2 linked regions of the Oreochromis niloticus genome follow. The protein of the gene in region 1 purifies or fractionates together with the protein of each later gene. This does not show direct contact. Links are inferred from orthologs where the notes say so. Each region holds a gene or a part of one and is shown in the gene's direction. Other genes may lie near its edges.

Region 1 (12,014 bases):
TGTACTTTGTTCTTTAGGCATGGCTTTGTTTATTTTATTAGTATTATTCCAAGAAAATGAAATAATGAATTATGCATTCTGCAGTATAGAAAGACTTTCACAAGAAATATAGTCCTTTTAATTAGATCCTTGACTACTAAACTATTTGCTGTGTTTATGCACAAAAAAGTTCAAGGACTTAGGTTTCTGTTGGGGCACAGTAGCGCTTTAGCTGTTTAGATGGAGTCTATAGGAGTAAAGAGGCAACGATGCAAATAATGAAGATAATAAACAGTTTCGCAAAGTGAGAGTGCTATCAAAGGTTGTTGTTCAACCAAATTATTATTATAACATGCATTACTCTAGTTAAAGACGTAAATCACTGACATATTAAAATTGTGTGTAACAGAAGCTGGAGGTGAGGTACAACAGACAGCCTGAGTATAGTCTAAGCCCCATTGTAATGGAAAGAACACGATGTACACTGTGTGCATAAGCTGACAAGCATCACTCTAGGGCTGAAAATCATAAAGAGCTTGTGTCCAGTGGCCTTACACTATAAAACTCTGACAGAGCTGAAAGGGGCAAGCAACAGAGAAGAAATCTTAAGAAGTTGTTAGGGTTGAAAAATTATTAATTGTTTATAAAATTATTAAATAAAGCTGTTTTATTATCTTATTCATACACAATGCAAATGTGCTCATAAACGTGTTGGCGCTCCATGTTTTGATGATGAAAAGTTTCATCCAACGCTGTGACTGGGCTGAAATATTATTAGTGATGCTGAGTGCAGAGGGTTTTTTGCAGCATGCTTACACACACACACGATCATGGTTTGAATAGTCTCTGAGTCAGGAAGCCTGAACAAGATGTCCTGAACTGGGCCTTAGAATCAGCTGAAGAATAATGGATAATATAGATAATCAAGACCACGCAGGGGGTGTGTTGTGTGTCTGTCTAGCCATGATAATCTTTTTTACTGTCACAGTATATAATCTGTGCAGCCCGTCTCACGGTTATCCTTGGTGTGAGGTAGATTATCACACTGCGTTCCAGCACAGTAAACTTGTAATTTCAACTGCTGAAGTAAATTAAATCTTTCTAAAGGACAGATATTTCTCCTGAATTCCTTCTGAAAATTTTGAAGACGACAAAGTCTCTATGTGGTTATAATTAATATTCTGTTCATCCACTCTCTTTCGCTTATCCTTGGGAGGGAGTTTGATAGGTGGCTGGAGCCTATCCCAGCTACCGTAAGGCAAGAGGCGGGGTACATCCTGGACATCACCAGCCATTTAGAGGGCTAACACAGAGAGACAGACAGCCATTCACATTCACACCTATGAGTAATTTAGTCTAAGTGTCTTTGGACTATGGGAGGAAGTCAGAGTCTTCATAGAAAATAATACCAACCATTGTTTGTATTTTATCTCTATTAGTTTGCATTAACACAAACACCATAAAGCCAGAGTTTAGCAATATACTCTTAGCCAGTAAATTGTTTATCATTGTCTGTGATGTCCAGTTATTTCATTTAAATCTCAACTAATACATTTGGTAAATGGTAAATGGCCTGTATTTGTATAGCGCTTTACTAGTCCCTAAGGACCCCAAAGCGCTTTACAGATTCAGTCATCCACCCATTCAAACACACATTCACACACTGAAATTGAAACATTTGAAATTTTGAGATGTTTAAATAATATTCGGATTTTTTAGATGTTCATAAAATGAATCATAGGAACTGGAAGTGCTTCTGTCTTTTGTGTTTTTTAGTTTTGAAGTGAAGTTAATCTTGCCAGTGTGACTTTTCTAACTTTATTATTTTATATCCTACATAATCATGGAGGAAAAACATTATCAACATTTAATAGAGCAATAACTGTTGGAGATATTGTTGATCCTGTAGAGGCGTTGCCAACCTAAAAACTGCAAGTATAAAACTTGAGCTTAGAAATGGACATGGAACACCTTAGCTTTGTCAGGTTGTAGGTCAGTTTCATTGTAGGAGCGTGAGATGGTTACAGAACACAACAAGACGAAAAGATAATTTAAACAAAAGATCTTGACAAGGCTATAGTTACACTATAAAAAGAAAGAGGAGAGCATTGGTCTCATCATTTGGAGATACTCTGAAGCTTCCTGTGTCTAGACTTTCAGGTAAGCGAAATTTAATTGTAACCCTTTTTAGTGAAATTGTAATTAATGTTCAATTGTCTAAAAAAAATCACAGTCTAACTGCATTTTAAAAATAAAAGCTCATTGTTCAAAAGAATTTAATTAAATGGTCATTAAGTGCTGTATTTTTTTGAGCGGAATTGTTGCAATACATTTTTTAAGCAAAGCAAAATAACCAAATTAAGCAAAACTAAGCAAATAATTTATAGATCATTAGCACAAGCAATTAAAATGACAGTAATTTATGTATATAGAAGCTGCTAGCTGTCGTTGTTCTGTGTTACAGGTAACAATTACAATATGGCTGCTGTGCAAATCACTACTGTGCTGCTTCTTTTGTCTTTTTCAGTAAATTCACGTGAGTTATATCTTTGAATTTTTTACTCCAAGACACTTAGCAAAGGATATGAAATCCTAGTCTCAATGTTTAGATCCAAAGAGTAATACACAAGGACTTTAAAAGAGCTGACAAAAACAGACATGTTAGTCGATCGGGAGAAATTTCCTGTGACGTGGCTGTAATACTGCTGTCTGACTGAGTTTATGAAGTCAGACAATACTGTAGAAATGAATACAGTACTGGAATATTCTAAGGAGCTTGGAAAGAAAGCAACTGGACTTCTTTAAGTTAAGAAACTTACTAGAATATTCTGCTTTTTTTTGTTAAGGCACATTACCCTGACAATTTATCTTTTTTGTTGTAAACCAAAAGAATGTAAAATATAGAGACAAATTGTCTGATTCGCTCTATCTTTCATCACTGTTTACAGAGAATACAGGAAGGATCATCGGGGGTCAGGAGGTCGAACCATACTCTATCAAATATCAGGCATCCCTTCAGACTGAGGTCGGGGAACACTATTGTGGAGGCACGCTAGTTCACCCAGAGTGGGTGGTGTCTGCTGCCCACTGCTGGAGACCGTAAGTACTGACACCATACAGAAAGATACACAGCTTTACTAATAAACATTAACGAAAATCTTTAATAATTAAAGAGGAGAGAAGGTCTGTTATGAAAGAACATATGTGAAATTTTCATTTCGTTTTAAGTGAGCAACTTTTGTCTCTTTCTGTTTAACAGGAGTACTTTTATGAGGGTTGTGCTATGCGAGCACAGCCTGATCAAAAACGAAGGATTTGAACAGATCTTCAATGTCTCAAAGATATATGTACACAATTATAATTTCAGGACATATGAGAATGACATCATGCTAATTAAGGTAAGTAGGACTTGTACTTAGCTACAAAAAATGGTACCACCACCCTAACTTTGGTTTTTGTTACAGCTTAGCAGACCAGCACAGCTGAATGCATATGTTCAGCCAGTTCTGATACCTGATGAAGGTACCCCTCCCTTTAGTGGCACCTGCATAGTGAGTGGCTGGGGAGTGACACAGGTTTACAGTTACACCCTCTCCCCTGTGCTACGTGCTGTGGATGTAAGAGAAATACCTTACTGCACTTGGTATTACTGGGGCAGGATCAAACCAGGTATGCTTTGTGCTGGATCTCCATACGGAGGAAAGGACTCTTGCCAGGTATACATTCATGGAAAACATGATTAATTATGTGTATGCGCTATGCTTAATTACTATTTAGCAGCTGCGTTTTGTAGAGTAATACTATTTTTAAATGAATATTTCCTCTTAAATTTATAGGCAACATGACACCTGTTATATATGCTATAAAAATATATCTTAACCAATGATGATTTACATATAATTTCAGTGTCATTTTAATACTATTTAACATTTGTCATTCAAGGGTGAATGTGTAATGCTATATTATCAAAAAACAACCCTGATTTGTTGTGGTACTCCACAGGGCGACTCCGGGGGCCCCCTTGTCTGCAATGGCTACTTTGAGGGCATTGTCTCCTGGGGTATCAGCTGTGCAAATCAGTACTACCCTGGTGTCTACACCAGAGTCAGGAGCTATATTCAGTGGATTGACTGGGTTATTGACAACACACCATGAGCTATATTCTTCAAAAACAGTTAAATGAACATAATTTTCAGAGGTCCTGAAATGAATAAATATTAAGGTTAGAATTTCTAAAATGTTGCCTGGAAATATGTCAATATTGCGCCTATAATTAATTGATTGTCACTCTTTTTTCCGATAAGGAATTATAATTGATACAGACAAAGACTTGTTATTATGATATCATTTTTATTTTTTGTTGGTACTATAGCAGTATAATTAGTAACTGTGTTAATCATTCAAAGTGAATTACTATTGAAAAATCACCAATGTTGCTGTTTTCACATGAATCAATTTTCCTAGTATGCCTTTTACTACAAGCAAAACCTCTTATATTGTATTTAAGTTTCATTGTAAATATCACAGTTTCAATTAGTGCAGCTTTAAGAAGGTTTTGACCAATACACTGGGTCTATAAACTGACAAGTGATACTTGCTACTACTAGTATGGAATAAAAGGCTAACCCATCCACAGTGACAGTGAAGATGCTGATTGTCTGTATCATGCTTCTATCAGTCTCTTGTGTTCAACGTTCAAAAAGGCCAAATGTTGCTTAGAATATAAAAATCAACAAAGTGGTCAATTTTTTCTTCACAAAGAAGAGCTGACCTTTATATGTTCATAAAACATATAGCAAATGGCTACATAATGCAGATAGACAAACAAATATTTTAGAAATCTGTCAAAAACCTGTTTAAAACTCAAAATTATCGACTTCACTGAACTCGGGTCTTGTTTTAAACATAAGGAAAGTATTTACTTGTGTTACAGAGAAACTTAGGGCAGCTGTGGCATTAACCTCACACTGGGTGCCTAATAAAGTTGTTGGGTACTGTATCTAAACAACTAAATATAGAAGCTATCCTGCTGCATACTGGAAAAATTACAGCTTCTCTGGTGCTGGTTTCCGTTGTTAAGCTAAACCTAAACATTCATGCTCACATTCACACCTACACCAGTTAACCTAACAAAGTTACAACATATCCTAAAAAGCTCTGATTAAAAATAAGGGCATGCTGGGAAGTATATTACTGGGAAATGCATGTGAACCTTTTGAGGTTAACTATAATTTAATAGTGAAACATTATGACCAGGTATAAGTTGAAAATAGTGCAAAAAGTGTGTATGATACATCTACAACCTGGTCCAGTGGAAATGATTGTTAAATGAAGACTTTTATAAATCAGTGTCCTTGTTTGGTACAGTGACCTCATCTAGTTAGTTGGTTATGCATGTGCTAAACTAACAACTAACAACAAACGAACAAACAACGATCTACACAAAATGAAAAAAAGGTAAAAAAGTGCCTTTAACCTTGGTGGTTTTCAAACTTTTTAAGAGAATGTCTTAGCATGTGACCTCTCCCTCCTTTTTTCATCCGGTTCCTCCAACCTGCCTGTGTGCAGAGCACTGTAGGAGAAGCTGTGTAGCTGCTCACTGAGATTACACCACTATATACAGCACTACAGTGTGTGTGTGTGTGTGTGTGTGTGTGTGTGTGTGTGTGATAATTATATTTACCAAAAAAGAGTAGGTGGTCGTTTGAACTTGTAATATTATATGGTTAATTTTTTATTCGTACTTTGGAAGTAAACAAAACGTATTGCTGAAGAAAAGAAGACACACCCCTGTCAGGGGCATTCCCTCTGCTTTTTTATTTGCACATTTAAATCTCTGTTCTAAAATGATCTGAAATCTACATCTGTGGTTTACAGTAAGGTGACTGGATCCTACCCAATGGAACTTCAGAGATAAACTATACATGCTGCAGGTTTGGTATTGATCATGTGATCAAGCAAATGCTACCATTTGTCCAATTTTTTATAAGTATTAATGGAAGCTAAATTTGTTTTTATAGTCTTATGCTACAGATTATGCTCACATGTGTGGTTCCTCTCTAGTGTCGTAACTGTTAAGTGTAAATTAATAATTTTTGGTAGTGATGGATTAATGATTAAAATATCTCTTATTTGAGCCACACATTTCTTGTGAGATCATACATTTAAAAAAAAATGGACATAGCCACCTTGATGTTTAGAGAAGTCCTGTTGTGAAGCTTCAGGCTGAGCATTTTTGACAGCTTATATCAGGACTGTGAAAACTGAGGGACACTACACACTTGCTTGCCAACATGCCAGTGACATGGTAAAGCTTTACCCTCCTTTTTGACTCTAGTGAGACCAGAATTCACAAAATTAACATGTTGTATCCAACATACAACAAAACTATGAACTGAAACACTTAAAACAGCAAACTTAATTAGCAGGCTTCATTTATAAACTGTACAGGTGTAATGCACAGATACAGATACTAACTAATTAGTGCAAAGTAACAGATTAAGAAAATACCAGATTTTCACCAAAACCAAAGCACAAAATTCTTGGATGGTCTGTACCACATAGGCAAGCCATAATTTTTGTCAGATTTTTCAAATAAAATTAAGTATCCAGATGGATAGTTGGATGACTTTTTAAGAGAAAAAAAAGAAAAGAAAAACAAATACACAAGAAAAGAAAAAAATCTACATCACCTTGAGTAGTTAAGTAGGGAGAAACTATTCAAACATGTTTGTGTCAAGTTGTAAACAACCTTTTAAACCCCACTGGGAATTGGATTGTTATACTTTTTTTTAATACAGTTTGTGTGTTGACGTTTGTAAACTAGAGCCAGAAGACTAGACTAGAGTAGAGACAATTGTGCTCGGCAGCCCCGCATAAATTTGAACCCCCGGTTACCCTGTTTTTGTGACATGCATAAATGTATTTGTGTTTCTACCCTGATATGTCACCTGATCGCTAAACGCCACCCTCCGGTAAGCGAAGAGAAGACAGTCTAAAGGTTTGCGCATGCTCAGCAGCAGCAGTTATTGTTTTGTTTACATAACGCTGTCCTTTCGAGAGCTAGGTGTGGAAAGCTAGGCATAAGTAAAACTCCCTGGTAGCAGCTTAAATTACCTGTCCGGGTAAATTATGTCTGTGAAACACGCTATTAGCCGGGGACTCGAGTTGGGCCGGTCGGTCTTTCAGCTCGGTCTCCTGAAATCCGGTGGCCGACTCGCAGCAAAGCTCCGAGCTGACCGTTTCCGTGCAGGCCCGTCGGTCCGCACCGCTCAGCCTCAGGCTTTCCTGCCGTCTCGGTACCGCTATTACCGCACTTCTCTGAAAGGCCTGGCAGCTCAGCTTCAGTCCGCCGGCTTCAGGAGGTTTGCTGGTGGGTCCCCGCGTAACAGAGCTGTATTTTTGGCTTTCGGTCTCGGTGTGGGGCTCATCGAACAACAGCTGGAGGATGACAGAAAGAGTGCTTCAACATGCCAGGAGATCCAGGTATGGTATCTAAATGTAGGTCACAGTAGGGTACTTAAGCGACATTTAAGTAAAGTGGTTTGTTACTAGTCGTTTTTCTTTTAGTCTTTATTTTCATGGTTATTTGCCGGATTGTTTTCTTTGTATCTTCACCAATTCTGCATATTGTTTGTGAATGTATGAATGTTTTGTTGATAGGGTAATGCATAGGTAAAGGATTTGTGTACTTTCTTTAATTTGTCATGCTGTTTGGACTGCACTAAGGCCTAAATGGATAACTTGATTGCAATCCTGCATTAATTTACTTTTTATTATTTATAATAACAAACTAGGTAGATTTTGGGGCTTTATAAAGTTGTTGTATACGGCCTATTGATTGTTTTTGTTTCTTTGTTTTTCTTGACTAAATTTGTTTATAGCATGTGATTGATATGAACATATCTTTATGTAGCTTATTTTATTATTATTATTTTTCCCTGCAGGCTGTTTTTAGGAAGAAGAAGTTCCAGGCTCCACTCAAGCCATTCACCTCTGGATTTAAACTGGAGGATTACATTCTAGGGAACCAGATTGGGAAAGGCTCCAATGCAGCTGTGTATGAGGCTGCAGCTCAATTTGCTCCTCCAAAGCAAAGTGCCAGAAAATGCTCCCTGGTGCAGATAAAAGAAGATGAAGTGGAAACTGAGGCACCTCGATCTCTGACATGCTGCTCACTAAGGAACTTCCCTTTTGCTATTAAGATGATGTGGAACTTTGGGGTGGGTAGTATACTAATGGTTTAGTGTAAGATGATTTCACATCTGTTTTAGGTTTTACTCCTCTGTATGAAAACAAATGAAAAAGAGCCACACATCAGTACCGATGGGTATTTTGCTATTTGTTTGCAGGCTGGGTCATCAAGTGAGGCCATCTTAAAGTCTATGTCTCAGGAGCTGGTGCCTGCAGGTCCTCATGCCTTAAAGCAGGAAAAAGAAGAAATTACTTTGGATGGGTAAGTATTATAACCTCAGTTCTTTTTATTCCTGCCTCAGAGTGGTGACCTAAGGATAGGAAACATGCTCATGAATTGCTGTGATTTCTCTACATGCAGACATTTCGGAGTCCTGCCCAAAAGAGTGTCAGCACACCCTAATGTGATCAGAGTGTACCGGGCTTTTACAGCAGATGTTCCATTGCTACCAGGTGCTCAGGAGGAATATCCAGATGTTTTGCCACCCAGGCTTAACCCTGCAGGCCTGGGCAACAATCGCACTCTTTTCCTGGTCATGAAGAAGTAAGACCTACCTTCCTACCTACCTCAGTCCTTCGCAGTATGTGTGCTTGAAACATTGTAAAAAAAAAAATTAAAAGTCACTGTCTTTGCTTTTAGAAATTTTCATTATTTTGTTTGTTTTGTGTTTTTTTTTATAGTGTACTTGTCAGGTCATTTTTATTCAGTAACTTAACAGATTGTCTGTATCATAGCTATCCATGCACACTGAGGCAGTACCTGGAAATGTCCACACCAAGCCGCAGACAGGGCACCCTGATGGTGCTGCAGCTCCTTGAGGGGGTTGACCATTTGTGCAGAGAGGGTGTCGCTCACAGGGATCTAAAATCAGACAACGTGCTGTTGGAATTCGACTCAGGTCTGAAAAAAATTCAGTAACAGAACAGTTTAAAGCCAAATGTAAACTGTGCCAACTTGAGGTCTGTTTGGGTCACTGATGTTATATTTATTTGTCCTTTATGCAGATGGTTGCCCCCGTTTAGTGATTTCTGACTTTGGATGCTGTCTGGCCCAGAGTGATTCTAGTCTGCAGCTGCCCTTCAACAGCATTTGGGTCAGCAAAGGAGGGAATGCTTCACTTATGGCTCCGGAGGTAGGCTTAAATATTTCTTTATTGTAAATGAATAGTCACAGTTGCTGCGCCGTCTCTTATTGGTGACTATTAAAACTGAATTTTGTGACTTTTACCTCCACTCTGGCTATAACCAGAGGTGACACTTGGATACCATTCAAGTAACCTAATTGTATCTTTGTGTTTTGAAATGAATCATTAAAATAAATAAGAACTCATATAAATAGATTGTTTTCAATCAACTGCATCTAACCACATATTTAATCACTATCATTCCTCACAATATTCCTGTCATCAGGTGGCTACTGCAGTTCCAGGATGTGGTGTGATGCTTGACTACGGCAAGGCGGATGCCTGGGCCGTGGGCGCCATTTCCTACGAGATATTTGGACAGCAAAATCCATTCTATCGAGCAGTGGGACTGGAGAGCAGGAATTACCAGGAGAAGCAGCTTCCTCCTCTACCCTCCACTGTGCCGGCTGATGTGCAGTTCGTGATACGCTTACTTCTCAGGAGGAACCCAAACAAGGTAAAGAAGTGGCTGTGTTTAGTTTAATATTTAAGTTTTCAGACTGCATTTCCAGTAAAAGAGAACTAAAACAATATAGTTTCATTTATTAAGCTGAAATATTGAACTAAAAAAATCACAATTCTTTCAACGCTAAGGGGAATTGTGAAGTTAACTTTCTGTAGATTTACCTGAGAAGGCATCTCTACCATTCCACTACTTAAAAATGCTCTTCTTACTCTGCAGCGCCCCACTGCCCGTGTGGCAGCTAACATGCTACATCTCAGCCTCTGGGGTCGGAAGGCTCTGGCTAACCAGGACAGCGTGGGCATGAGGAAGCTGGCTGATTGGTTGCTGTGCCAGTCTGCTATGGTTCTCCTTAAGGGCTGTCAGGGGCCCAGTGGGAACAGAGTGGAGGCGGAGCTTCAGAGGAGTTTCCTGGCTAACCTAGAGCTGGAGGACCTGCGCACTGCTGTAGGCTTCCTCCTCTATGGGCGAGAGCAGAGCCAGGCCTGCGTGCTGTCTGTCTAGATTTACTCAAACACGTAGCTGAGAGTCACTGATATGGATAAACTGGGGCTTAAATTTGCTTTCAATACTCAGACTTCTGTATGTGTGGTATGTATGTTTTTTTAGCTGTAACATCTAATTGCTATGGGTATTGTTTGAGTATTTATCATGAATTGCCAAGTGGTGTGATTCTCCCTTTTCAAGTATCCGACCCTCAAACCTGTGTCCTCTAATGCTGCTAAAGTTACTTATCTGCATTTCTCACATACTTGTGAATATGTTTCACTTGCCTTCATTACTGTATCAGCAGGAATTCAAGCACTTCAAACATTCAAGTGTTATTGGTACCCATCGTACAAAAACGCAGTTTGTCTTACATGTGCAATGCATTGTGGATTAATGAGACGGCTGCTGGGGAGTGATTGTGTTTAATTTGTCCCAACATTTGAGTTGCTTGGCAGTAATTCTATTATGAGAGTGGATATTTTGTTTTCCAAATTATGATACACTTTTTCATATCAGCCTGTGGAAAAAAAACAAACAAAAACTCGCATTCATGCAGGTTTTTTTTGCAACTATGAAAAATTTTTGTATCAGTGAATGTGGAGGTCAATGCAGATAGCTTAGAAATAATTAAAGTTAGACTCTACTGTGTAGGGTAAGACCAAGTGAAAGGTTCACAAGTAGGACACAGTCCATAAAGTTGCCCCTTGAAGATCTGGTTGCCACTGGATATGTGTTGCAGTCAGTTGTACACTGATATTTCACAGCTAAGGAACATAGACCTGTCCTAAATGCTAGAACATATGAATCACATTGATCCTGATGTGTCATGCATGAGTAATTAATTAATCTTAAGGATATGACTTTGTTCCACATTGCTGATGTTTGCACTCTATGCTCATGTTTTGCACCTGTTCAGAGCTGTGGTTTTCAGCTAATATAATATACAGATTTCAAAATAATTAATTTATTGGGACTTAATCCTTCATATTAGGATAATTTACTGTCAAAAAGAATGAAAGGGATGCATGTATATGGATTCCTACAAAAAGATTATAAGACGTATTTTAGATATATGTCGATTTTTTTGCAGTGTTTCAGAATAAAAGTGTTAAAGAGCCCTGAAGTGGTTGTGCAAGTTCTTTCCTTTTTCTTTAGATATTTTCTAAATAAATAACTCATATTGGTGATATAGTAATATCCATGATTTTTAGGTTTGATGATGAATATTATTAGCACTGTTTGTGAAATAACAAGTTGCTGCCTGATCTTAAATGTCTTTTTCTTTGAGTTCCAAAGGAGATTTCATGTGGATTCTTCCATGTGATCTTGGACAAACTAAAATTGTTTCTCTAAAAATCCCTCACTTACAACTTATAGGTGTTGATATGCAAAAAAAAAACGTTTGATACAAGACTTCATTTTACAGAAGCTTTATTTAAGACAGAGCCATATTAGCATTTTAATAATTTATACTCTGAACAAAGTCAAACAGGTAATAAATAGACTGGAATGTATTTAGGAACACACTGAAGTTTCCTGTATAATTCCTCGTGACCCCTTCAGTACTCCTCTCCTTCCTCTTCTCCTTCACCCTCAATAGAATCAACTCCCACCTCCTCATAATCCTTCTCCAGAGCTGCCATGTCCTCTCTGGCCTCAGAGAACTCTCCCTCCTCCATACCCTCACCCACGTACCAGTGAACAAA
Region 2 (12,132 bases), on another chromosome or scaffold:
CTACCACTCTATCCATCGCCTAATCAGTCAGCCGGTCAATCAATCAATCGTCACATCAGCGAGTCAGTCTGTGAGTTTGTCAGCTTGATTTTTAGAAAGATTTAGGTGAGAAACGCCGGTGGGATGTTATTCTCTCAAATAGAAAATTGACTAATGTAGCCCAGTTATAAGCAGGAGTTAAAAAAGGCAGCTCAAAAAATATACACTCATCCCTGTCTCCTCAAAATACTTTCAGGGTTGAGTTATAAAATAGTGAAAATAATCCTATTTGTGTTGAGTGCCTAGAAGCATCTCTGGACTCTGGTGATATTTGACTTTGGTTCCAACTAAGTGAAGCATGTGAATTTTGAACGAGCCGTAGGCTTACATTACTCCATTTATCCTCTAAACTATTAAAAGATTTACTTCAATAGCCTGATTTTGGACACAAAATTGTTATCTACTGGTTGTTGTTTTAAGTCTGTGTTTTAGTCCGTGTACACTATGTGAGTCTCACTCATCCTCGGGCAGGTGAAGGTGCAGAGGAGAGTGCGAGTCATCTGCAGCTGTCACTCGGTGTCAGCAATGGCCCCCTGATGCAGTCAGGCATATGCAAGTGACACTTGATGTGATCATCACTGACAGGCTAGCTTGTAATATGCGTGACCAGAGGGATGTTATCCTTGAAACAAGTCTGACCAGACGACTGCAGGTGTTAATTTGAACAGGGATAATTCATTTCGACATTTACATGCTAAATATTTGACAGGCTACACATGATGATTTTATGGTAATGTGAAGGGAGAATGCTGGGAAATGCTATTAGTGTGTGTGGGTGTTTCCGCTCCCTGTCCCTGACCCTTCCCTGCAATCACACATGGACACGCACAAACACACACACAAGCACAGAGTGAGACAAAGAAATACAGAGACAAAGAGAATGGGAGAGAGAGGTCTTTACAAAGTGACCATTCTGGATACTTTCCAAGGGTTTTGTCAGTCACTATGGAGATTTGGAAAATAGCCCTTGCACTTTAATTCCTCTGTTGTTACCATGGTTCAAAGGTATCCAGTGGAAGCGAAATGAGCACACATGCCTACTCTGTGCATTTTGCTTACCATTGACAGAAAAGATCCAGTAAGCTTAAAAACAGCAGTAAAACAGGCAGTATCGCTAAAACTAATGTTCAGTACTGTGCAAAAGTCTTGACCACCCATTATTTCTTTATATGTTGCTTCTAATGGAGCCAGACTTTCTTGTAACTTTTAAAGTGCTCTTGGTGAAGAGTTCTCCAGGCATTGTGAAGGTCTTTCAAAGTTTTTCTTTGGACCTTTTGCAGTCCAGTTCTTGAGCCTGACCATTTTCAGAGGATTTTTGGTTTTGTTTGTTTAGTTGTCAAGTGACTTAGGACTAATCTACAAGTCACTCAAGCATAAAAAAGACCCTAAACTGGACAAGTGAGAGACAAAAAAAAAATCTACACCAGATAAACAGTATCTGAAAGTTATGTCCTGAAGAAATAAGTGAAAATTCCAACAAAGACCTGATACAGAACCTGACCTCAGCTCATCCATCTACTGTTCGCCGAAGCCTCATCAGAAATGGTCTCAGTGGAAAGATGGATATCAAGAATCCATTTTGAAGGAAGGGAAACAGGGAGAAAAGGCTGGTATGCCTAAATACACAAGAACTGCTATGAAAATCAGTATCAGGTCTGATGGTGTACTGAATATAAATTGGAAATGTCAACATCATTGAAGCAGGTTGGGATCATCTTGACAGAGAACGGAACAAACAGCAGTCAACATCCAAAGAAAAGGTTTGAATGTCCTTTAAGAAGCCTGGAGAAATATTCTTGAAGACTACTTAAAGACGTGACATGAAGAATAAAGGTGATCATACCAAATATTGACTTTCAAGTTTATTACAACTGTACAAACTGCTTTTGGTTTACACATATACTTTATTTCTATGTAAGTTTGCACGTTTCAATAAACTGCTGCACTGATTTCCCATGTTCCTAGAAAAACATAAATAAATGAAGAGTGGCTCAAGACTTTTGGACAGTATTATACAAACTCTGCATTCAAACTCATGTACTACAAGTAACAGCAACCCTAAAGTTGAAATGCAAAAGCACTGATTGTGCGGTATTTCATATACCTGGTTATGAGGTTACAGGTGCTTGAAGAATCTGTTTTCTTTGGACATCAAGATTTTTTTTTTCCTTTTTTTAATGAAACCATCTGGGCAGTGAAATATCTCTCCAGTGGAGCTGCTTAGATGCTTTTGAAAATGTGACAATATAATAAAGTTTGTCAAATGACTCCGGCTCTATAATCTCAGGACTGTCTGCAGCACATGTAGCAGCGCACACATCCCATCTGAGCAGACAGTGGTGTGCACTGCAAGGAGTTTCTTCATGGTAAGTTTCTCAGCAGTATGTAAATCTGCAGCATGAATCAGCCACATTTGAAAGGACCTGCAATGTGTAAACCCCACTCTGTGAAACCAATACAGTCCTGACCTATCGGAGGAAGGACACCACTGTGTGTGTCACTGACCCTGACAGCAAGTCCTTTGGGGCCTGTGGTTTGGGGTGGGACATCTGTGGATTGAGTTTGTGAACATCTCTTAGATCAGGGAATGTCCTTGTTTAGGTGGTGTATGTCTAAATAACATGCAGAGGTTTTCCTGTAGAACACAACATTGTGTAGTAGACTGGTGTTTGATGTGATTTTTCTTGCTCTCTAAAAATTAGCATTGACCACATGAATCCAGTTTTAAACAGGCTCTACTTTCCTCCACTGATAATAACCTGACTCTCACACTGACTTGACAAATGCCCACTGAAGGCCCTGCCGTGGATTTACAACCTTTCTTTCTCACATTAAGGTTTACGTCTGTCTGCTCTCCGTGCATTAACTCATGTGCAGCAAATACTTTGTGCTGAGATTCTGCCTACAATAATCTGAGCGGCCATGACCCGCAGAGATACTGACCAATTTAAAAAGCCCAAAGGACAAAAAAAGAAAGAGAGACTTTTTGCAATCTTCTCACCACAATAACTAATTTTCACAACCTTATAGCTGAACACATCACTTATGTCCTGTGAGAATCGATGAACAGTGGCTGCACTGTCTCCACTTTAGTTCTGGTAAATAATGTTGGGGATGATCGCTATGGCTACTGGTGCGCACGGGTTTGTGATTCACCATCATGGGAGATAAAACAAAGGGTTCCTTTTTGCTTTTACCCTGCAGTTTTGAAGGGACCACACCCAGAAATAAGATTTAACTTATCTGTTGCCCTGCGCCATTACAGAGTGACTGACTCTGACTGATGTCGAGTCTTATTTGATTCTTTTTGTACGCCTCCTTTAATTAGCTCCCCCGCAGGGCTGTTGCTTTGGAGCAGAAAAGCGGAATCTCAGCAACAAAAATAAAAAGACCAAGCGATAAATTCCCAAGAATGGGAGCTATTTGGCCCAAACTGTTGCACTGTCAAGCGCCGTGCTACACACAATAATTACGGCCTACTGTCTGCATTCTCTTGATGCAGTTAGGTGACAGATCAGCAATACACAATCCCTGCTCTGTTTGTGTCAATCCAGGCCTCCTCTGTCTCTCTCTGTGGCCAATACTGGCAGAGCGGGATCATAATGGGCCTGGGAGCAGGAATTTTCATGGCCCCCACCCTGTTACTAAGTGAGCGTTGATCATGTGAATTTCCGTAGCCGCTTTTGGTAATGGGCGTCCACTGTTTTACTCCGACCACGGCCTCATGTTTGCATGCTCAAGTACCACAAACCACTTCAGTTATTATGCTTTTGCCTATCATTTCTCCAGTTTCAAAAGTTTGGAATTAAAGTTTTGAAGTTCTCTTTAGATTTTAATGTTTCACTTTAATACTAAAACATCTGCAGGCCATATTGTACAAAATCTTCCTTGATACCTTTAACTGCATTTTGCCCTTTATGCTGAAAGTTAACTAGAGGAAAATTTTGCATGTTTTCCTTATTTGATTCATCCTTGCATGTCTTTGGCAAATGCCCTTTTGTAAGATTTGATGCTTCTTTAAATCCCATTAAAAAAAGCAAAAATTTAAATGGCTTTAGACACAGATCTGACCACACACATAAACTTTATCAACTTCACAAAGGTTTGTTTAAAAATAGGAAATACTTACACAATCTCACTTTTCAGGATAGGATTCAGTGACAGCCATCTTGTAACAACACAACATGCATGCTAAATTAAGAAATTAAAAAAACTGCTCCAAAACCCCCAAATCAGTATCAAAATTGACTTCAAAACAATTAACTTCTCATACTGTGATTTTATTGGATTCGTTTATATAATTGCACAAATAAAGAAAAGACAAATAATTATTAAACAGAAATGTGGGACTGCTTTCTTGCACTTGCACAATAGCTCTAAAATTTGAAACATCCTGTCTCAGAGTGATGCTGAAAAAATATTTCATGCATTTATACTTTTCTATTGACTAGTGTAATTTATTATTATCAGACTGTGCTTAAAAACTCCCCAAAAAGCCTTAAGTTGATTCAAAATGCTGCAGTGAGAGTACTGAAAGAGACTAGAAAGAGAGAGTATATTTCTCTATGCATAGTACTGCATAGTACTGTATCACCTCAAAAGAACACTCCCTGAGTCTGGCTCTACCTGAAGCTTCTTCCTATTAAATGGGAGTTTTTCCATCCCACTGTTGCCAACTTTTTCCTCATAGGGAGTCATCTGATTGGTGGGATTTTCTCTGTATTATTGCAGGCTCTTTACCTTATAATATAAAGCACCTTGAGGTGAATGTGATTTCATGCTATAAAAATGAATTGAATCGAATAAAAAAAATATTGACCCCTGATATTGCTGAGAATATATACAGTGCACACATAAAGCTTCTCAGTGCCTTTCAGGTTATGCCCCAGAGTCATGTAAACATAGATTCAGATGATTCTTTCTCATTTATCTGCACACTCACATTATTTTCTGCACATTCAAAATCAAAAAGCAAACATTTTGTGTGTTCTGGTAATTTATTCAAAATGAGAGAGGTGAAATCCAATTTATACAATCACCATTTACTTCTTACTTGATTAACACGCTTTTGGGCACAAACGTCGACTAGAATATCTGTGCACAGCCTTAACAAATATGGCACAGATAAGGACTATGAGAATAAAACCAACAGCTTTAAACAGTCAATCTGCTTAGACAAAGCCAGGCTATAATTTGAAGTTTGCGTCACAAAGATCAAACAAGCTCACCGAGTAGCTGGGTTTATTACTGCACAGTCATATCTCAGGGGCTGCACGCCAGCTTCAGATAACCGCAGTCACCCTCACCCGCAAGCCAAAAATCTGAAAGTCTCCCTGAAAGAGATATTTGTGCATTCAGTCTTATCTAGTGAAAAAACGTCACTAAAACCAATTTGTTCTCCTGTCTTGGACTTATTTTATGTTTACTAAAGAGCAGATAACGCTCAGCAGCACCAGTGCAGCACAGTTGGGAGGTGTTAGGTGTCACTGAATCACTGAATCTCAGCAAGTCAGCAGCACTGCAGCACTGACAGCCCTGTGCACTGAGAAGGGCAAAAGACAGAGGAGGGGAAAGAAGGAAAGAGCTTTTGGACACAAAGATTAGTCCTTACGGAAATATCTCATTATTTTCGTTGCAAGTCAGTCTGAGAAGAGGGTGACAAATAATACACCCCAAACAAAAGCTTCAGGAATGCAGCAAACCTGCCAGTATTGAATGACTTTGACTCATATCCCCCAAGCTCTCTGTTTTTCTCTCCTAGGATTAGTGTGTGACATCATCAGACTTGTTCTTTAAACCTGATTAACCGTTGTGTGAGGCTGCTGACTTGCACATACTTTACTAGACCTGTATTTCTCACCCAAGCAAACACCCTTCACCAAAATAGTAGACATATGTAAAACACTACGGCATTACACTTAGACATGTAGTCATACACTGAATATGCTTAGTGCTGACATGGGTGCATTGCTTATAAACCCTAACTTGTTTTCTTTACAATTCTCAGCATTGTATGATGAAAAAAGTCCTTTCCTCTTGTGGGTGTTAAAAATGTCACTGTTTCATCTACAGTAAGTGAGAGTGTAAAATCATTCATTGTGATGTTTGGTGTCCCAGTAAAAAATTAAGATGAGCGTTAAAGTTCGGGCAAACTTGCTGAGAGTAGTCTCAAATGTGTGCAAAATCTTCAGGATCAACATCTCGGACGCAACAGCACAATCCAATTACTTTAGGCTACTGTATCCGAAGAGTTGGTGTAAATATCTGTGAGTCTGACAGGCAAATATGTGTGCTCTGATTTGCGATTGGATTCTCAATGTGCCACTCAAGTCACTGTTACGTATTTGCATAAGGAGGAGACTATAAATGAGTAACGGTTTAGGAAACGCCTTCCCAGGCGCACTCCGCGGATGCTGATAGAAACAAGATATATTCCAGATCGGCGACAGTGCTCTGGTACTTAAAGACACAAACAAGATGGCCTATAGATCAGGTCCACATTCCTCTTACCGAAAGATGTTCGGCGGGGAGAAAACCGCCGTAAGGTCCAACTACTCGAGCCGCCAGTTTTCGATCCCGGTGCGCTCCTCCCGGGTTTCCTTCGGGCTCTCCTCCACCCCGACCATATACGCGTCGAAGACCCAGAGGCTCCGGAGCAGTGCAGCCATGCCCCGGCTGGCATCCGAGAACTTGGACTTCTCCTTGTCTGACGCCATAAACTCCGAATTCATCACGAACCGCACCAACGAGAAGGCGCAGATGCAGTCCCTCAATGACCGCTTCGCCAACTACATCGAGAAGGTTCGCTTCTTGGAGCAGCAAAATAAGATCCTACTGGCGGAGCTGGAGCAGCTGCGGGGCAAAGGGACGTCCCGGGTCGGAGATCTTTACGAGGACGAGATGAGGGAGCTGAGACGCCAGGTGGACCAGCTCACCAACGAAAAGGCCCGCGTGGAAGTTCACCGGGATAACCTGGGGGACGACATCGACAGGCTGAGAGAGAAGTAGGAGGCGTGGCACTTTTCTGTCCTCAACTCCATGTATTGTTTCTTTTGTTGTCTAGACCTGTTATTCAGCTCTGGTACATTACAGAAATCTTTATTAGTTAGAGCCTAAACAGACTGTGTATAGAGTGAGAGTATGTAAACATAAATTCTTACCCTGCACTGCGCAAAAAGTTGTTTTTCGTGCTTAAAGGAGAAGTGATGATTTTTAAGTGTATATTTACAGTGGCTGCTGAAATAAAGGTTCTGCTTTATGCCTTTCTTTACAGGTTGCAGGATGAAATTTCCCAGCGGGAGGAGTCTGAGGCAAACATGCAGAGCTTTAGACAGGTACAGCTCTACACTGGTGACAGCAGCCAAAAACTGCAATAGATGGACATTTTGAGGGTGATAAAGAGAAGTGTCTTAGATCTCAAGGGCAGACCTACAGTGCCTCATATTCTCAGCTGTTTTTGGTTCAATTAAGGTTTAAGCAACCAAACTGATGGAAAGTGATGTGAAAGTAATCGGATAAACCTTTATCCTTAATATGAAGATTAACTTTCTCTTTTCTTTTCTGGGTGATCTCTCTCTAATTATTGCCCATGAGCTGTGGAGACAGGAATGCACTCTTCTGATGGCACAACAGCAGATTCTAGGCATGATCCAAAATAGCTGTAGAGCAGTGACTGACCCTGGACTGGTACAAAAGGCTAAGTTGTGACTGTTGAGTTAAATCAGGCCTGCAGCGAGAGGAGATCTTTTTAAGTCTGACTGGTCACAATGAATGAGCCGGACACAAGGGCAACAACAGTGTGGATCCAATGTGGTTATCAGAGCGAGAAGACAAGCCACCATGTGATCCGGCTGTCTCGTTCTGGGAGAGCATCAGCACAGAAAAATCTCACTTGTTATGGTCCTGTCAGAGATTGTTCCATATCACTGGTTTTCACAGGGATGAGTCATGCAGACAGTTTCCAAAGGTTGTCAAGGCATAAAAAGGTGAAAAAGAAAGTTGTCATCCCACCAATGTAGTTTAAATGTTAGACTCATGATGATTATATGCCTTTTAGGACTTGCTTTAAGTGATACATACGTTACACAGTCATGGCATTGTCTGTGTGAATGGGAGGAAGGAAGTCCCTGTGGTCTGCCTGAGTGGCACACTGACAACAATGCAGTGCCCACAGCCAGCTCTTGCTCAGTCAGGCAGACAGTCACTCTCTCAGCCTTGGGCTTGTTTGGGAACCCCTGCTGAATAGCACACTTTGTTTGTGGCATTAGTGCAGAGGCAAAGCTGCTTCATTTGCTGATACCTCAGTTGCCAGCCTGCCAACGCCCCAACAAAGCCATGGTGCCACAGCCAGTCTGTATGTATGATTAAGTATGATAAAACAGAAGACTGCTTTATGAACTTTATTCAGTAATGTTATAAAATGATAACAAGCAAAATTAGTTACCAGTAGGAGAACTGGAATTCCACTGGAGAAAACTGCAAGGCATTGCAGGTTAGGTTATTAATAACCTCTTTAATAATTTGTTGTGGTTCTGGGTATTCTCCAGTACTTAGAAAAAATTTCACTGAATTCTGTCCAGCCTTTTCCCACACCCAAAGAATGTCAGGCCAGCAGCTATAGAGGTTAATTTGTTTGTTTTATTGTATAGTAATCAAACTCAGGCTCCATCTGAGCTCAGGAATCATAGAGCAAAAGATAAAATAACTGTGCCAAACAAATGTAGATGAGAAAAAGTCACTTAGTTTCTTGAAATTGATTACAGTGCTTATGTGCAATATTTGAGCAAAGGTCTGCCGAATTGTATAACGACACGAGAAAACACCTACTCATCTGTTACCAACATCTGCAAGGACATGTCATGTGCCCACAGTTGATTTTCATTGGATGCATGTGTTTTTGACCTTAATCAACCATACAATGGGTCATTTTGTGCACTGGATTGTGTGAGGGCTTTTTACAGCATGTGCACAAGAGGGGTTTTTTTTCTTTGTCAGCAAGCACATTATGCATAACTCATGTCACCTTCACAAGTCACCTTATTAAGAGTCAGTGTTATCGTACAGGATGTGGACAACGCTGCCCTCGCCAGACTGGACCTGGAGCGGAAAGTGGAGTCACTCCAAGAGGAAATCAACTTCCTCAAGAAGCTGCATGATGAGGTAAGCCTTCCTTTTTTGTTGCCTAAGCTAAATCGGTCTACTGCAGAAGCACTGCACGTGTGCAGCCCGTGAGGAAAAAGGTACTTTTAGAAAAACTGGGCCAAATAGTTTGAAATATTTGTTAATCTGCTCAAGCGCCACATCAGCAGGGTTTAGTTTCAAAAGCTTTTTTAAGTCTTTAAGGCTAATTGCACAAAAGCATACAAAATAACTGTTAAAAAAAACTTCCTGTGCTAACAGTACAAACTGACTCTGCTGAATTTGCTGCAGGAAATGTTGGAGCTGCAAAATCAGATCCATCAGCAGCAGCATGTGCAGGTGGACATGGATATAGCTAAGCCTGACCTGACAGCGGCTCTGAGGGACGTCCGTCTGCAGTATGAGAACCTGGCCTCCAAAAACATCCAGGAATCAGAGGAATGGTACAAATCCAAGGTAAAGGCATTTTAGAGAAGCATATTTAACCAAGCGCAGTAACATGAACTTCAGCTTCAAAATAATCCCACATTCAACTCATGAATTTTTTATGTTTTTATAGTAATAACATCACCATTTATGTAACTAAACACCAGAACCAGTAGATATTAGGCCCAAAATTTATCAGGAAGGCCAATAAAAGACTAACAAGTGTCACTAATGTTTCTTTGTATCTGTTTGACAGGTAAAAAAGTAAGTGTTTGCTAACAAATTCACCGTATAAATGCAACATCATTTGTCCAAAATATGTGATTAGTTTTTCTTATCTTAAAAACTGATTATACATTAGAATGCTGAGAACTAGCAAGGTATAAGCAATCCTCCTTTCTGCCGTTCGAGCACTAGTGGAAAGTCAGTAACCTTAAAAGTGCCTCAGAGCACTGGTGCCGCAGTGGTAATCCCTGCAAGGCTCTGTCGTGGCTACATCTTTCATAATTTACACACTTCATGAAAACTGCCGTACTCCCATCTCCTTCAGCCTCTGACTCATCATTTATTGAAGAGTTGATTTCTCATTTTTTCCTTCTCTTCCTCTGTCTCTCCTCTCTGTTTGTCACTGTGATTACCAGTTTGCTGACCTCACTGAAGCTGCAGCTAGGAATAATGAAGCTCTGAGAGTGGCCAAACAGGAGTCCAATGATTACAGACGCCAAGTTCAGGCACTTACTTGTGAAGTGGATGCCCTGAAAGGAACTGTGAGTTTGCAGTTTTTGGCTGCAATATAGAAGATACAGAATATATATAAAAATATTCAACATTTGTAAAACTGGAAGCAAAGGGGGAAAAAACTGAGCACAAGTTCAGAAAATTAACTTGAACTTTTACTGCAAAAGCGTCTTTTGTTCTGTCTTGGCTGCCATCCCAGAATGAGTCCTTGGAGCGCCAGATGAGGGAGATGGAGGAGAACTTCTCCTTGGAGACGAGCGGGTACCAGGACACCATCAGCCGTCTGGAGGAGGACATTCACAACATGAAGGATGAGATGGCCCGTCACCTCCGCGAGTACCAGGACCTGCTAAATGTCAAGATGGCTCTGGACATTGAGATTGCCACCTATAGAAAGCTGCTGGAAGGAGAGGAGAGCAGGTGATGGGAGAAGCATTTTCCGAAATGCAGTAATCTGCAATACAGATATGAACACTCATTTGATTCAAGATTCAAGATGCTGATCTTAATTAGTGAGCTGTATTTTCTCTGTCTGCAGAATCTCCACCCCCTTGCCAAACTTCTCATCTCTTAACCTGAGAGGTAAGATTCTCCGTGCTTATTTTTACAGTTGGAATTACAGTTTTTGCCAGTTTCTAACGATACTTCTCTGTCTTAGAAACAATGGTTGACTCCAAACCACTTATCGAAACCACAACAACCAAGAAAGTCCTCATCAAGACCATTGAGACCAGGGATGGTCAGGTAGAATACGCTTAAAGAGATCTTTCACTTCATACAGGCACATACAGATATATCCCTGCTCAACATCTTTTCTCTCTCCCTCTGCACCCTTGTTCAGGTGATCAACGAGTCGACCCAGAACCACGATGACATGGACTAATAATGTCCTTGTCTTTACCAAACCACCAACAAAAAGCAATAAGAAGAAACACATTTCACTCGGGCTACAAGCAAGCAAACAAGCCAACAACACACAAAAAGCAAACAGCTTCGAGAAGTGCCTTTGTATGTGGTGATCCAGTAAGCCTGTTAGTTGACACAGACTGTATTTTGCTTCCTTGGCCGCAGCAAGTATTTTGTCACAGTTGTTTAGACACAATAATGAAGTCAGCACAACACAGCAGTTCTCACTGAGGCCTACAAAAATCTATCTTTGTAACCAAAGTAGTATTTTTGATCAATATAGCATGCACTTACCAGAAAAACTGTATGCTAAAGATGTCACAATTGCCTGTATGCAGCAATAAACCATGAAGACTGTTACTCGCTACTGTGCACAAGGTGTAATACTTGTAAGGCTGGAGTGCATTATTGTTATAAAGTATAAAAATACTTTATACCTAATGCTATACATATAAAGCATTATGTAAAAAACAATCTCTTTTATCTGATTTTAAGCAACGCAAACCGTCAAAGTGTCCTTGAGGCTAAGAAGTGAACTTGAATAGTAAGTCCGATAAAAATATTTTTTGCAAAGTAAGTTAAGTTATTATGATTTAATTTAAATTATGCTTCTGAAAATCAAAGTAAGACTCCAAACATGATAAACACATTTTTTTCATGCTAAATATGTGTGGCATAGGGAATAAATAATAAAAAATAACCCTAACTATTAGGTTGTTAGTTTAGTTAATTTATTCTGCATATATTATGCACATTTGGATGCTTCCATATCATCGCTTAAAGAAGAACCTTAATGAATACATTCAGCTTGGATTCAATAGAACACAAAGAAACAACTCAATCATTGAGAGGAACATTTTCAATATTTGTGAAATTTGTTGTTTT

The links.
Region 2: the proteins of pink1 (region 1) and vimentin A2 purify together in Homo sapiens (affinity purification with mass spectrometry; 3 studies listed by BioGRID and IntAct, with this or other methods). This does not show direct contact. The link is inferred for Oreochromis niloticus from reciprocal best matches to the Homo sapiens genes PINK1 and VIM.

What each region holds. Positions count from the first base shown.
Region 1 is NC_031984.2:8,536,454-8,548,467, forward strand, and holds pink1 (serine/threonine-protein kinase PINK1, mitochondrial), read left to right. Parts: upstream 1-6,992; 5' UTR 6,993-7,110; coding exon 7,111-7,464; intron 7,465-7,925; coding exon 7,926-8,201; intron 8,202-8,330; coding exon 8,331-8,434; intron 8,435-8,533; coding exon 8,534-8,716; intron 8,717-8,907; coding exon 8,908-9,071; intron 9,072-9,177; coding exon 9,178-9,305; intron 9,306-9,582; coding exon 9,583-9,813; intron 9,814-10,038; coding exon 10,039-10,323; 3' UTR 10,324-11,361; downstream 11,362-12,014. Other genes in the region: trypsin-3, read left to right, coding at 2,458-2,515, 2,928-3,078, 3,239-3,377, 3,444-3,695, 3,982-4,134; tubulin alpha-1B chain, read right to left, coding at 11,868-12,014. UniProt on the Homo sapiens protein: Serine/threonine-protein kinase which acts as a sensor of mitochondrial damage and protects against mitochondrial dysfunction during cellular stress.
Region 2 is NC_031982.2:21,157,189-21,169,320, reverse strand, and holds vimentin A2, read left to right. Parts: upstream 1-6,356; 5' UTR 6,357-6,516; coding exon 6,517-7,043; intron 7,044-7,312; coding exon 7,313-7,373; intron 7,374-9,102; coding exon 9,103-9,198; intron 9,199-9,468; coding exon 9,469-9,633; intron 9,634-10,244; coding exon 10,245-10,370; intron 10,371-10,540; coding exon 10,541-10,761; intron 10,762-10,879; coding exon 10,880-10,923; intron 10,924-10,999; coding exon 11,000-11,085; intron 11,086-11,182; coding exon 11,183-11,224; 3' UTR 11,225-11,612; downstream 11,613-12,132. UniProt on the Homo sapiens protein: Vimentins are class-III intermediate filaments found in various non-epithelial cells, especially mesenchymal cells. Vimentin is attached to the nucleus, endoplasmic reticulum, and mitochondria, either laterally or terminally.